Linked DNA regions of Lytechinus pictus. The protein of the gene in region 2 interacts with the protein of the main gene of each other region in a pairwise test. Links are inferred from orthologs where the notes say so. Each region holds a gene or a part of one and is shown on either strand. Other genes may lie near its edges.

Evidence for each region.
Region 1: the proteins of splicing factor U2AF 50 kDa subunit-like (region 2) and splicing factor U2AF 35 kDa subunit-like interact in binary tests that used the Drosophila melanogaster proteins (3 or more experiments, as listed by UniProt). The link is inferred for Lytechinus pictus from reciprocal best matches to the Drosophila melanogaster genes U2af50 and U2af38.

Annotation. Positions count from the first base shown.
Region 1 is NC_087252.1:7,858,574-7,865,155, reverse strand, and holds the start of splicing factor U2AF 35 kDa subunit-like, read right to left. Parts: upstream 3,341-6,582; 5' UTR 3,084-3,340; coding exon 3,040-3,083; intron 1-3,039. UniProt on the Drosophila melanogaster protein: Necessary for the splicing of pre-mRNA. Binds to the polypyrimidine tract of introns early during spliceosome assembly.
Region 2 is NC_087254.1:7,869,773-7,876,354, forward strand, and holds the start of splicing factor U2AF 50 kDa subunit-like, read right to left. Parts: upstream 4,872-6,582; 5' UTR 4,814-4,871; coding exon 4,735-4,813; intron 1-4,734. UniProt on the Drosophila melanogaster protein: Necessary for the splicing of pre-mRNA. Binds to the polypyrimidine tract of introns early during spliceosome assembly.

The DNA.
Region 1 (6,582 bases), on a different chromosome or scaffold from region 2:
AATTTGCCGAAGGTTACGCCACCATGTTGGTTTTAGTACACATAAAGCCAGTAGTATAGTAAACACAACTTTCAAGAATTTTTTCGGCTGACCTGCTGTCGCTCAGCCAGAAACCATGCAGCGTTTCCTTTGGTTTTGATAGGCCGAAGCGATCGCGAGGCTGAGGTGAGCAAACCACGGCGGCCCAGAGCCCATTGACTCACTGGAAAATTTTTTTAAATGGTGCATATCAGCATTTTTTAAATTTAATACAGCAAAAGTTTGATTTTCTTATGGTTTCTGGAGTTGGACATTGGTGATTGGGACTGTGTACTAACAGTAACATTGGCTTTCCTTTCTGGACTGGAATTTTGAAATTAAAAAAAGCGCAAGATCTACCATTTGTCGTTGTCTGACGTCTGTTGATCGTCATATTTTATGATTTATCGCGCTAGCCATGCTCGCACAGCACTTACGTACAGTGTACACAGTCACACACACACAAACATCACACAGATTCACTGCAATGCTTGCCCAGGCCTTCAGCTCTACTACAATTACCTCGAGCGATGTTCGTGCAGGCTCCACTCCACTTCACTACCGCTACACTACGCTCCACCTACCCGAACATCGAGACGGTGAACCAGTTCGGATATACCGAGTCACAAAGGTGGGATGGAAATCATGTTTATCGTAAAAATTAAAGAAAAAAAATATAACGAGAAAGATGAATAACTTAATACCTTACTCTACACCCATATTTCACTCTGCTTCCATCCTCCAGTTATCCTCAAAATTGGTGATTTTGGGCCAGTATCTTTTTCCTCACACGTATTATTCATAGCCGATTTCAAAACATCGCATGCGATCGATCGCGATCGGTTTGACCTGCGACCGATCGCGATTGCATGCGATTTTTTTTAATCGGTCGTGAATAATACGTGTGAGGAAAAAGATACTGGCCCAAAATCACCAATTTTGAGGATAACCGGATGGAAGCGGAGTGAAATACGGGTGTAGAGTAAGATATTAAGTTATTCATCTTTCTCATTATATTTCTTTTCTTTAATTCTTACGATAAACATGATTTCCATCCGACCGTCCTTTGTGACTCGGTATATCCGAACTGGTTCACCGTCTCGATGTTCGGGTAGGTGGAGCGTAGTGTAGCGGTAGTGAAGTGGAACCTGCACGAACATCGCTCGAGCGAGGTATACTAGTACAATCAGACAATGGCAATGCCGGCGCTAATGCAGTTTCGCACCGGCCGATAACCAGCATACCTCATCACCAATACTTGTTCCCAAATGTCATGACAAGTCTCTCAGTCACATTTCGAGGTCAATATACCCACCTCTTTTCCAAATATCGCGATCGGGAACGGCTGTATTTCAGCTTTGATCTCGAGGTCGTTGTTCGAATCCTCAGACATCACTTCACGGATTGCTTAGATTCGCCGTGCGCCGTAATGTTGATATCCATGGACTGAAGTTATGCGATCAAAAGATTCGCTTGCAGCATGCTGGCAGTTTGTTCGCCACATGTTCGCATAATTTGGTTGCTAACTTCAGTCCATATCAACATTACGGCGCACGGCCAATCCAAGCGATCCGCGAAGTGATGTCTGAGGATTCGAACAATGACATTGAGATCAATCATCAAAGCTGAAAATGAAATACAGCACTCAGCAGTTCCCGATCGCGATATTTGGAAAAGAGGTGGGTAAATTGACCTCGAATTGTGACTGAGAAGTGAGTGTGAGAGACCAGTATCCTCACTGACCTCCTTCCAGTCTCATCACAGATAGATCTCAGGAAACTGCTGCTTCTAGGCCAACTCGTCAACCTCGATCACACACGCTTTGAGTTTAGAACATTCTTAGAAGCCCTCAACTTAGGCGCTCCAACAATACGGCTCCTGCAGGAGATAACAAAGAAGTATGATCTTCCTGATCTTCACAGCCTTCTATCGAATCCTCCTGTATACTCATCTTGGAAGAGATTGGTCAATTACAAAGTGAACCTGCTGACCAAACACAACACATGTCAAGGAATCCTTTCCAAGCCATCTCTTAAGTACTGGCAAGACTGTATACCTCCTTCTGCCAAACTCCTGTACCCGAAAAGTGTACTCTCTCCTGTCTTACGAAGAGCATTTGTGGTGAGAGCTCAACTCCTTACAGCCACCTACTTAACACAGTGTCGTCTCTTCACGCTGAAGAAATCAACCAGCCGCACTTGCCCTCTATGCAAATCTACCGACGAGACTGTGGAACATTTTACTGGGCAGTGTCCCAAGCTAGACCATCTCCGTCAAGTGTTTATTGGCAAAGTCAAGGACTGCCTTGTGGACTTCCCAACATGTGTCGATCTATATGTCAATGCCAACCCACAGGACTTTACTCAGGCCACCCTTATACCATTTCACTCTTGTTTGCCCAAGGAACTACACAATAGTTTACTCCTATTATCTCTCTTTTTCCTCCACAAAATTGATGTATTCCGTACTGACATGGTTCAAACCTCCTAAACCAGAATGACAGCGTATATGGAACATATCTGTTTACCTTGGACCCTAGGAATCTCCAAATAGTGGAGGGATCAGCTAAGCCTAAGAGAGAGAGAGAGACTTGTCATGACAATTGACATTTGGGATCAACATGATCATGATCAAGCAGTCACAGTCAAGTATTGGTGATAAAGATAAGGTAGGCTGGTAATCGGCCGGTGCGAAACTGCATTAGCACTAGCACCGCAATGCCATGGTCTATGTTGTTCTGCGGCATACTACAGCTGCATGAAGCTGGCCTGGCGCTGGCCTTCGGCTCACACACGAGGCACCGTGCGCGGCCCCGCGTCGTCGATTGACGCAAAAAAAAAAATGACGGCTTTGCTTTGGCTTTGCCTTTGGCTTTGCGTGAAATTATTCACCAAGATTGCTCAGGTCACACTGAATCTTTTGAAAAAAAAACATATAAATAATGACAAAAACCACTCTTCACATATCAACCACTCACTTAAACCATTAGAACCCAAGAAAGCGGTTAAACTTGATACTTACTTGTCCTTTTCGGTGCCAAAAATGGATGCAAGATATTCAGCCATTTTGGCAAGCGAGCAATGTCAACCTCGATCTATCACTGTGATAAAATACTTTTAAAAAAGTGTATCAATAAAAAAAATTGTAAAAAAAATGAAAAAATATTTATAAGTCATATAATATTAGTTTTTTTTCTTTCACTGAAGTATTATGAATTTAATATTTTGCCATTTAAAAAACATAATCAGATGAAAGAAATCTCACGACTTTAGATATGACATGCCAAACGTAAGGGAAGAGATGTATTCCAATCATATATGTTGTCTCTAGCTGGAAGGTAAAATTTATTTTGGCGCTAAACTGCTGATATTTTCTTCTTTTTCTCACTGCTTTTCTTTTTATTAATTTTTGACTACTTATTCTTCTCCATTGTTTGTTGTCTCACCTCGTTTCCCTATCCCTTTCTGTACTTTTATTTCCTTTTCGACCCCCTAATTTCTTCGATCTTCATCTTTTTTTTCTTCGATCTTCATCTTTTTTTTCTTCCCGTCTTCTTTTTCTTTTTTTCTCTCCATTTCCCCCCTTTCACTGCATGTTGTTATTCTTTGAGGGTCTTACTTATGTGAAAAAGGGCTCGCCCTATAAGTTTTATCTGCATCGAAACCGTACGTTGAAGTTTCAATCTATCTTTTAACTTTAAGTATTGTTAAAAAAAAAAAAAAAAGTGAAGGGCCTGCAAGGACCCCTAAAATGTTCACGACCCGAAGGGCCCAAACGAACGAGACTATAGTAGGTGAAATTATCAAAATCTATCACAAAATAATATTTTTACATTTAAAATTGCATTTTTTTATGAGGCTAGGCTTTCGCTTTTCATAACTATACAAGTGCCATTATCAGGCCATTCAAAATTGTTTGGTCATTCACGCTACCCATGAACCAATTTCATTTTGAGAGGAAAAAAATACAATATAACCATTATAGGTCCCCGTTCTTTCTACCTTTACTCTTCTCTTTCCAACGCGTATGCGTTGAAATGTGATTTTTTTATTGTTACTGAATTCGAATAATCAGCGACTATCTATAATGTTTCAGTAAACGAAATAGGTATATAAAACTCTCTGTATATAAAACTTTATTCTAATTATTTACCCATTGTATAATTTCCATTTTTCAATCTCCTTATACTCTGAATACGTCACTAATTCGATATCCTCTACAGTCAAATTTATCTAATCCAATGAATTCACTTACATCATCCCTGATAGCAGACACGGTCGTAATGACGTCATTAACTGATCGTAAAGTGGTAATACTCGTCATGTCGTCGTATTTATGACGTTCTTACGACGTCATTTTGACGACTTAGAATGGCAACTTTCATTTGCATTTTTATTTGACCAGATTATGACGTGATTTCGACGTCATTTAATTACTGACCAATTTAAGACAAGTAAATTTGCTCGCTTATATGACCAGATTATGACGTGATTACGACGTCATTTACTGACCAATTTACGACAAGTAAATTTGCTTTCTTATATGACCAGATTATTACGTGATTACGACGTCATTTATCGACCAATCTGCAACAAATGAATTTGCATTTTTATATGACCACATTATGACGTGATTATGACATCATTTATTTACCAAACAACGACAAAGAAATTTGCGTTTTCATATGACCACATTACGACGTGATTATGACATCAAATTTTACCAATCAACGACGAGGAAATTTACAAGTTTAATTTCAAAGCCACATACTATTTTGCCATTTTTTCAACCTTGCCATGTTAGCAAGGCTATTTCTACTTATAAAAGGAAAAGTAAAACTAAAAGAAAATAGTACAGATTTTTTTTTATTTTAGGTTAAGTATATAATTCTTCAAAGAAAAAAAATTTCAAAAGCAGTGGCAAAAATAATCATTTCTTAACTGGTTGCCAACCAAACCAAACAATTAAGAGGAAGCTTTATATGTCAAAGAAGTTTGTATCTATTTTAAAACTTTTTTTTTGGCAAGTGGTGTCATGCCCCGGTGTCATGCAAACCCCCTATCTAGTTAGCTCACCCCCCCCCCCCATGCACGCCCCCCGGGCACACCCCCTATAAATAATTCATGATCCGCAGAATTAATTCGCCGTCGGGCGTCGAGCCTGCGCATGCGCGCTGCACTGCATGCAACATATGCAACTGGCGCTGTAGTCGCAACCATTTAATTTGAAAAAGGAATGCGCCCGTTTTTCGCCGTTAAATGTTGCAGCCTAATTTTGGATCGAGAATTAAGTGCGACGAAGATGGCCGTTAATAATAGTTCTACTACTTTAAGAACACGGTTCAGATTTGGATAACGACTCGAAGGCATTCGCAGGAGACCAAACAGTAAGTTAGATAACCATCTTCTAATATTTTCTTTTCGGAGCGCGGCTTGCCTTTGGCTTTAGATTTCGTGCACTGACACTGCCCGGCCGGGGTGGCTGCCCCGAGCGCCGGCATGCTGAATAGGACAGACTGCGCTGGTGGGCTCAGGGCCCAAGTCTGCACAGACACAGTGCACACTTTAACTTAAGGTAAATGCCAGTTGTGGTAACGATATCAAAATGAGTTCGTACAGAATCCAATGAAATGACCACCAAAGTGTCTGTCTATATTTATAAATAATATACCGTATGTGCCAAAGGATTCTGGAAGAAATTGTGTAATTGCTGCGAAATAAGCAAAAAAAGCACAGGATTCGGGTCAACTCGAGCCAAGGCAAGCGTCGGGCCGACATTAATCAGAGCAATAATAACTGTCCCACGTGCTCTTCTTATCTGTGTTGGTGATCTTCAGTTTGAACATTTTTCAGTGTAGATTTCAAGATTTCACAAAGTTCAGTTTATGTAACTGTACCAGATCTACATGTAATGTAGATTCTCGATGATATACCGTACTGACAATTTTTTAAATCCTAAATCTACCGGGGTATTTTGATTCTTGTCATTCCCGGGGGGGGGGGGGGGGTATTATTGCCCCCCCCCCTATAAGATCTCTGCCGTGGATTGCACGATCACAACGAAAATTTGCATGATGGTAGAGAATGACGTAATCTACGTAGTTGCATTGGTAAATTTCACTGAATTCATATTTTTTTATTTTATATGAATTAATTATTTATGCTAATTTATTCATGAAATCATACTTTTTGCTCTGATTCACTAAATAAAGCTCCTAGAATGCTATTTTTTGGGTGAAAATATTCTTTATAGCATTCCTAACAATTGTAAATGAAAAAAAATCTGGTACCAAGACCGATTTCTTATGTATTTTATTTTTATTTTTTAATTCATGTATTTCTTTGTTTTTTTACATTTTGTTTTTTATTGTATTTTCGATGGAAATCGTTCTAGACTTAATTCTAATCATAAACAAGGCAAAATTAATTAAGTTTAATCAGTAAAAGTAGAAATAATGATAAATTTATGAATTTTGGCTAAATACACAATTTGCATTGGATTTGTACATGAAATCATGTTTATGAGCAATTTTGGGTCTGACATGCACTTACATAATGTTGCGTA
Region 2 (6,582 bases):
GATCACGAACCAAGACCATTTCCAGCCTACACAACGTGACCGGATATCGTTATCGCTATCAATACTTCCGCACGCAGTCCGAAGGAATTATTTTGGCGACCACATAGTCATGACGTGATCTGCGCGATTGACCAATCAGCGGTCTCCGAATCGCTTTGTGGAGACGATCTATCCGTTGTACACAGTCTATGGACGATTTTTCGTTGTGCAACGTCATTATTTGAATTCTCAGTCAGAAATCGCTTCGCCTGGCCTGGCTTAGTCGTAATTTTTATATGGAGTAAAGTTAGCGACCCAAAGATTTGCCTGCAGCAGCTCATCCTTTTGTTTGCATGATTTGGACAATTTGAACAATGACGTCGAGATCGAAGCCAAAATACAGTCGTTCCCGATCACAATATTTGGAAAGGCGGTGGCATATTGACCTTGAAATGTGATTGAGGGAATTGTTATGACCTATTAATGTCTGACATTTTCATTTGTGAACAATTTCTGGTGGGAAAATTGCTCGTAGACAGTCGGCCGGTGTGAAACTGTATTTAATTTAGCACCATTTTCTGACCAGCACATGTAACAAAATCTTGGTAAAATTTCAAGTCATTTTTCTTTGTGGATACCATTTTAGGCCATTCCGTGCTTTTGGGAACTGGTAGCCAAATTGAACTTGTACCTCCTTTCACCACGATATGTAAAGAATCTTCGCTTTGGCGATTTTGAAAAGAATTGATGCGAGAGGCTTTGTTTACGATGCGAAGCTCTTCACACAACTGGTAACCTCTTTCCTCATGCGATGTTTAACGGGCTCAGTTTGCCACGGGTGGACAAGTTTTCAGATGACATCGACGATTCCGCGGAATTATAATTTTTTTAATTATCCATCTACCCCGCATTTCCCTGCTCTTCAAGACCACTCTGCCACTTTCACAATGTTGACAAAAACTTATATTACAAAATCGATTCACTAAATAAATCACAAACAAGATATATCTGGGGATGAATCACTTTAGTAAACTGTATTATCTACTCGTGAAAATGGGAACCAGCATAGCTGGTTCCCATTTTCACGAGTAGATAAAGACAGTTTACTAGTGAAATTTATTTTGTCAGAGTCATCACTGACAAAATAAATCTCATTGGCAATCTCTCTCTATATCTACTCTTCAAAATGGGAACCATCTAAGAAAATTCTCCTGAATTATAAATGCTGGTTCCCATTTTCACGAGTAGATAAAGACAGTTTATTAATCAGATTTATTTCGTCAAAGAATCATCACTAACGAAATAAATATAACTAGTAATCTGTCTTTATCTACTCGCTGAAATGGGAACCAGCGTGTACAACTCTATTGAGAATTTTCCACGCTGGTTCCTATTTTGGCGAGTAGATTAAACTAGTTTACTCTACTCGCTGAAATGGGAACCTGCGTGTACAACTCTATGTGGAGTTTTCCATAGAGTTGTACGCGCTGGTTCCCATTTCAGCGAGTAGAGTAAACTAGTTTACTCTACTCGCTAAAATGGGAACCATGTGTACAACTCTATGGGGAGTTTTCCATAGAGTTGTACGCACTGGTTCCCATTTTGGCGAGTAGAGTAAAGTAGTTTATTAAATCTAATCGCCAAAATGGGAACCATCTAAGAAAATTCTCATGAATTATACATGTTGGTTCCCATTTTCACGAGTAGATAAAGACAATTTGTTAGATTTAGATTTATTTCGTCAGAATCATCACTGACGAAATAAATCTCATTGGCATTCTCTCTCTCTATATCTACTCTTCAAAATGGGAACCATCTAAGAAAATTCTCCTGAATTATAAATAATGGTTCCCATTTTCACGAGTAGATAAAGACAGTTTATTAATCAGCTTTATTTCGTCAGAGAATCATCACTAACAAAATAAATATCACTAGTAATCTGTCTTTATCTACTCGCTGAAATGGGAACCAGCGCGTACAACTCTATCATATGGAAAATTCTCAATAAAGTTGTACACGCTGGTTCCCATTTCAGCGAGTAGAGTAAACTAGTTTACTCTACTCGCTAAAATGGGAACCAGTGTGTACAACTCTATGGGGAGTTTTCCACGCTGGTTCCCATTTTAGCGAGTAGAGAAAAGACTGCGACGAAATCAATCTTTCTGATCTAAGCTCTTTGAAGGATTACTTTATCTAGAATCAGCGCCACTGAACTAAAAATACGTGGAAGTCGTGTTCACTCAAGCAAAACAGCGCCGGCGAAATCGATAAGTCACGTGACCGCCGCCATTTTGCTAGGTCAATTGTTCGAGAACGTTCCGTAGAAGGCAATTGAAAATAATATTATGTGCAAGATGCAATATGTTTTCTCTATAAATATAAAATTAATAGTGTGGCAAAGTGTATTTTAATGTCATTAAGCCAATCATGTACAAACATATTTCTATATGCACAATGTACCGGGACCTGGTAATTCATGTAGTTAAAAAAAGGGTCTAAATCAGGGTGACCAGATTTCACAAAATGAAATACGGGACAATCGATAAAAAAAGATCATCAAAGAAGGCTACACGATGTTATACTTGTGAAAAAAATAAAAATAATTGGAAGGGAGGGAGAACGAAAGAATGAAGGAGAGAAAGAAAAGACGAAAGAAAAGAAATGATAAAGAAGAAAGAACAAATGAAGGGGAAAATGAAAGAAAGTTAGAATAATCAAAAGGACGATGAAAGAAAGAATAAAAGAGAAAAAAGGGTTTCCGTCATTCTTTGAATTCGCCCAATATAGAAAGAAAGGGAAGATGTGTGAAAGACAAAATAAAGGTAAGAAAAGTAAGAAAAATTAAGGAGGAGGAAACAAAGAAAGAAGAAAACGGGAAGGGGAAATGAAGGAAGGGAGGGAGGGAGGGAAAGAAAGAAAGAAAGAAAGAATAAGGGGAAAGAAGAAGAAGGAAAAATAAAATAGAGAATGAAAGAAAGAATGAAAGAGAGGGAGGAAAGATTGGAGATAGGATAGAATGAAAAAAATAATGGAAGGAGAGAAAAACGAAAAGAAAAAGGTGAGGAAGGGAGTAAATAAAAGTATAAGGAAAAAAAGAATGACGGAAATAAAAATGGCAGATACGGAGAAAGAAGGAAAGAAAGAAAATTAAAACACAGAAAGAATCAGGAAAGAAAGGTATGAAATATTAAAAGATGTAGATGGAACAAAAAAAAGCAAGGATAGAAGGATGAAGGATAAAAAGGAAAGAGGAAAAAGTTCAAACTTCAAGCAAACAAAAGCAATCCAATCATCTAACAGAAATGATAATGATATTTGGTGTGTTTGTGGGAATATTTACTCAAAATTTATATAGAGAAAGTTGAAATGAGAAAGGAAAAATGGTAAAGATGGAGAGAGAGAAAAAGAAACAGACGATCAACGAGAAGAGATGGAAAGAAGAGGAAGATCAAAGAGAAAGAGAGAGAGAGAGAGGGAGAGAGAGGGAGAGAGAGGGGGAAATCGAGGAATGAGAAAGAGGTGAGGAGAGAAAGGCGAGACGAGAGGGAGATAAAAGAGGGCTCGATATAAGGGAGATGGGGGAAATAAAAGAAAAATATAATTAGGGGAAGAGAGAGTGGGAATGTAAAAGAGAGAGATGAGAAAGAAGAGGAGAATCAGAGAGAAAGAAGCCAAAGAGAAAGGAAAATAATAAAGAGGGAGATCGAGATGATATAAAGGGGAGAAATAAGAGAGAGAGGGGCATGAAAGTAGAAATGGAAGAAATAGAAGGGGATGGAGAGGATAAGAGAGATGGAAAAAAGAGGAAAATCAGAGAAAATGAGATGAGATTAATAGTTGAATGAGAAGGGAGGTTTAAAAAAAAAGCTAGAGAAAGGGACATGATTTCTAATCGTTAAAAGATTTTTTTGATGCAACCAGCTAGTATAGGCCTACTCAGAAAGCATATTTGTTGTGGGGCCTTTCCTTGTCACAGCGTGCGCGTGAAAAAGGTCGAGTTTTTTATGATTTCATGTCTGTATGTTTACTCCCCTTTAATAAAAAAATGTGACTAAATCAACATTTTCAGTTATGAAAGTATTCAATAACATATAGTTCATGATGTAACAAAGCAAACTAAAACTTTAAACAGCACAAGGAACACTTTCTTTGCGTTCCTTTCTCCCATCTGCCTATATACACGCAGCATTTGTCGACCAGCCAGTATTGACCTAGCAAAATGGCGGCGCGCTCAGTCGAGCGTGAAGCCCGATGCTCTTCGTTGCCGCATGGCTTTGTGTACGTTGGGAATAGGGACACGCATTCCACGTTTTTTTAGTTCAGTGATCAGCGCGCCAGCTGCAATGAAACAGTGAACAAGCTCGAAAAGGTAGGTAGGTCATGTCTTGTCGTGAAAAAGTGTCCTTTGGAAATTAGGAACTGGTTCCCAATTTCACGATAATGCCCCATTTTATCATGTTCTTTTGGCAAAAAAACTTTACAAGGAGTTGTGCCTGGCTGTGGAACTGGAAGCCAGAACTCAGGGCCCTATTTACACAGGGGTTCTTTACACACACACACACCCCCAACCCACACAAGCACTAACTAGCGCACCACAAAGCACACACACACAACTGCACAATGACACATGATGAACGCGACGCAAACTGACTGGCTGGCATGGCCATGGCCGTCATGTTTGTATTTCGTCTATCGTATTTGGAAATTAAAATGAAAAGATTCCATGCTTTTTACATCACTCTTACTAATGCCTACCTGGTTTTCTATCATCTTCGTCCATGATTGAGTGTTTTCCCCGAGTTTTAGACCAGTTTTCAGCGGTTGTTTTCAGCATGCAACATTCAGGACCGGGTGTAACACGCTCAATGTCTGTATGTGCTACACTTCCGATCCGAGTACGAGTGTGTAGAAATTGCCGCACTACTACAGGCCCGTGCTAAAATATATTGGCGCTAATTATATTCACCACGCCAGATGATGAACAATATTTATCCCCCGAAGCCGTATGAAGTTTTATAATGCTTGTTTGATTTGTCGCGTTTTATTGATCTTTTGGTTGGCGTTGAATACATCATTAAATGGTAACTTTAAATAAAGAAGGCGAAACTATAGAATGGTGAAAGTTTGAAATAAATGGGGAAGAAAATATGACTGTTTACTTTTAATATTAGATCAATGGAATCTCGATTAGGCACCTGTTTTAATGTGCCAATAAATATATATAAGGCAACTAGCAATTATCGTGTACACTAAATTCGTGGAGGTTTTATCCTCTTCTAAGAAAGCCTATTATTCTGATTAAAGCTTAACTTGCCATTTTAAACTCAAATGCTTGCTTTTCTGAATCAAAATGACATCACCCATGCGACAGAACTTGTCACTTATATTTGCCGAATCATACTATAGGCGTAGCCCTAAATGATCCTGAGTAAAATAATATAAACTTTAATTATATTATCTTGCCACTTTGAAAGCAATTATTCTTCTCTGATATTCGGCAGAAAACATATCTGATCAAGAAAAAATTATCTAATTCCATATAGAAATTATTGAGAAATCGAGTGATGGATGAGCCTGCCAATTATGTTAACTATATTTTGGAGTCCGTGGATATAATCCATGCATGCATGCAGTGTCTGAGAATTACTTTAAAAATTGTAAGAATATGTGTGTTCACTAATATGAGTTATCTATACTAATTGAAAGAAAAGGTTATCTATACTAGGCCTGTATATACAATCGGAACGGGACTCGACCTGCCGTACGTGACCGCATGCAAAATTCAATTAGAAGAATTAAAATAATTGAGAAGAAGAACATTAAGACAACGCAGTGCTTCACGTACGTATACTTTTGTTTAATAAAAATTGCTCAGAAACTATGAAATAGAACTAGAACACTATTTGAATTTTATTAGACTATAGAAAACAACAATTCAGATAAAGCTCGATCTCAAGCCGGCCTTCGGTAACTGAGCACTCATTCTCTACAAAAGTGATGCCGGTGTAGGCCTATAAATTAATCAAACTAAGCCTATTGATTTGAATAAAGAAAGATCAATCTATAGCATAACGCTGAAAATTTCATCAAAATCGGATGTAAAATAAGTTATGGCATTTTAAAGTTTTGCTTATTTTTCCCAAATAGTGATATGCATAACCTAGTGACATGCAAATGAGTCGGTCGATGATGTCCATCACTGACTATTTCTTTCGTGTTTTATTGTTTGAATTATACAATATTTCATTTTTTACAGATTTGACACTAAAGACCAACTTGAACTTAAAAATATAACTTTTTTATTTCACATCCGATTTTGATAAAATTTTCAGTGTTATGCTTGTTGGATTTTTTTCTTTTTATTCAAATCAACTTTTTGTTGGGGTGGACTTGTCCTTTAAAGGACAAGTCCAGTCCAGCCCATCAAAAAATTGGGTTAGATAGAAAGATAAAAATCATACAAGCATGCACTACACTGAAAATTTCATCAAAATCCAATGTAAAAATAAAAAAGTCAGCATGACATTTTAAAGTTTCGCTTAATTTTATAAAAACATTTGACATATGCTGGTCAGAATGAGGAAACAGGGGCGTCGATCCATT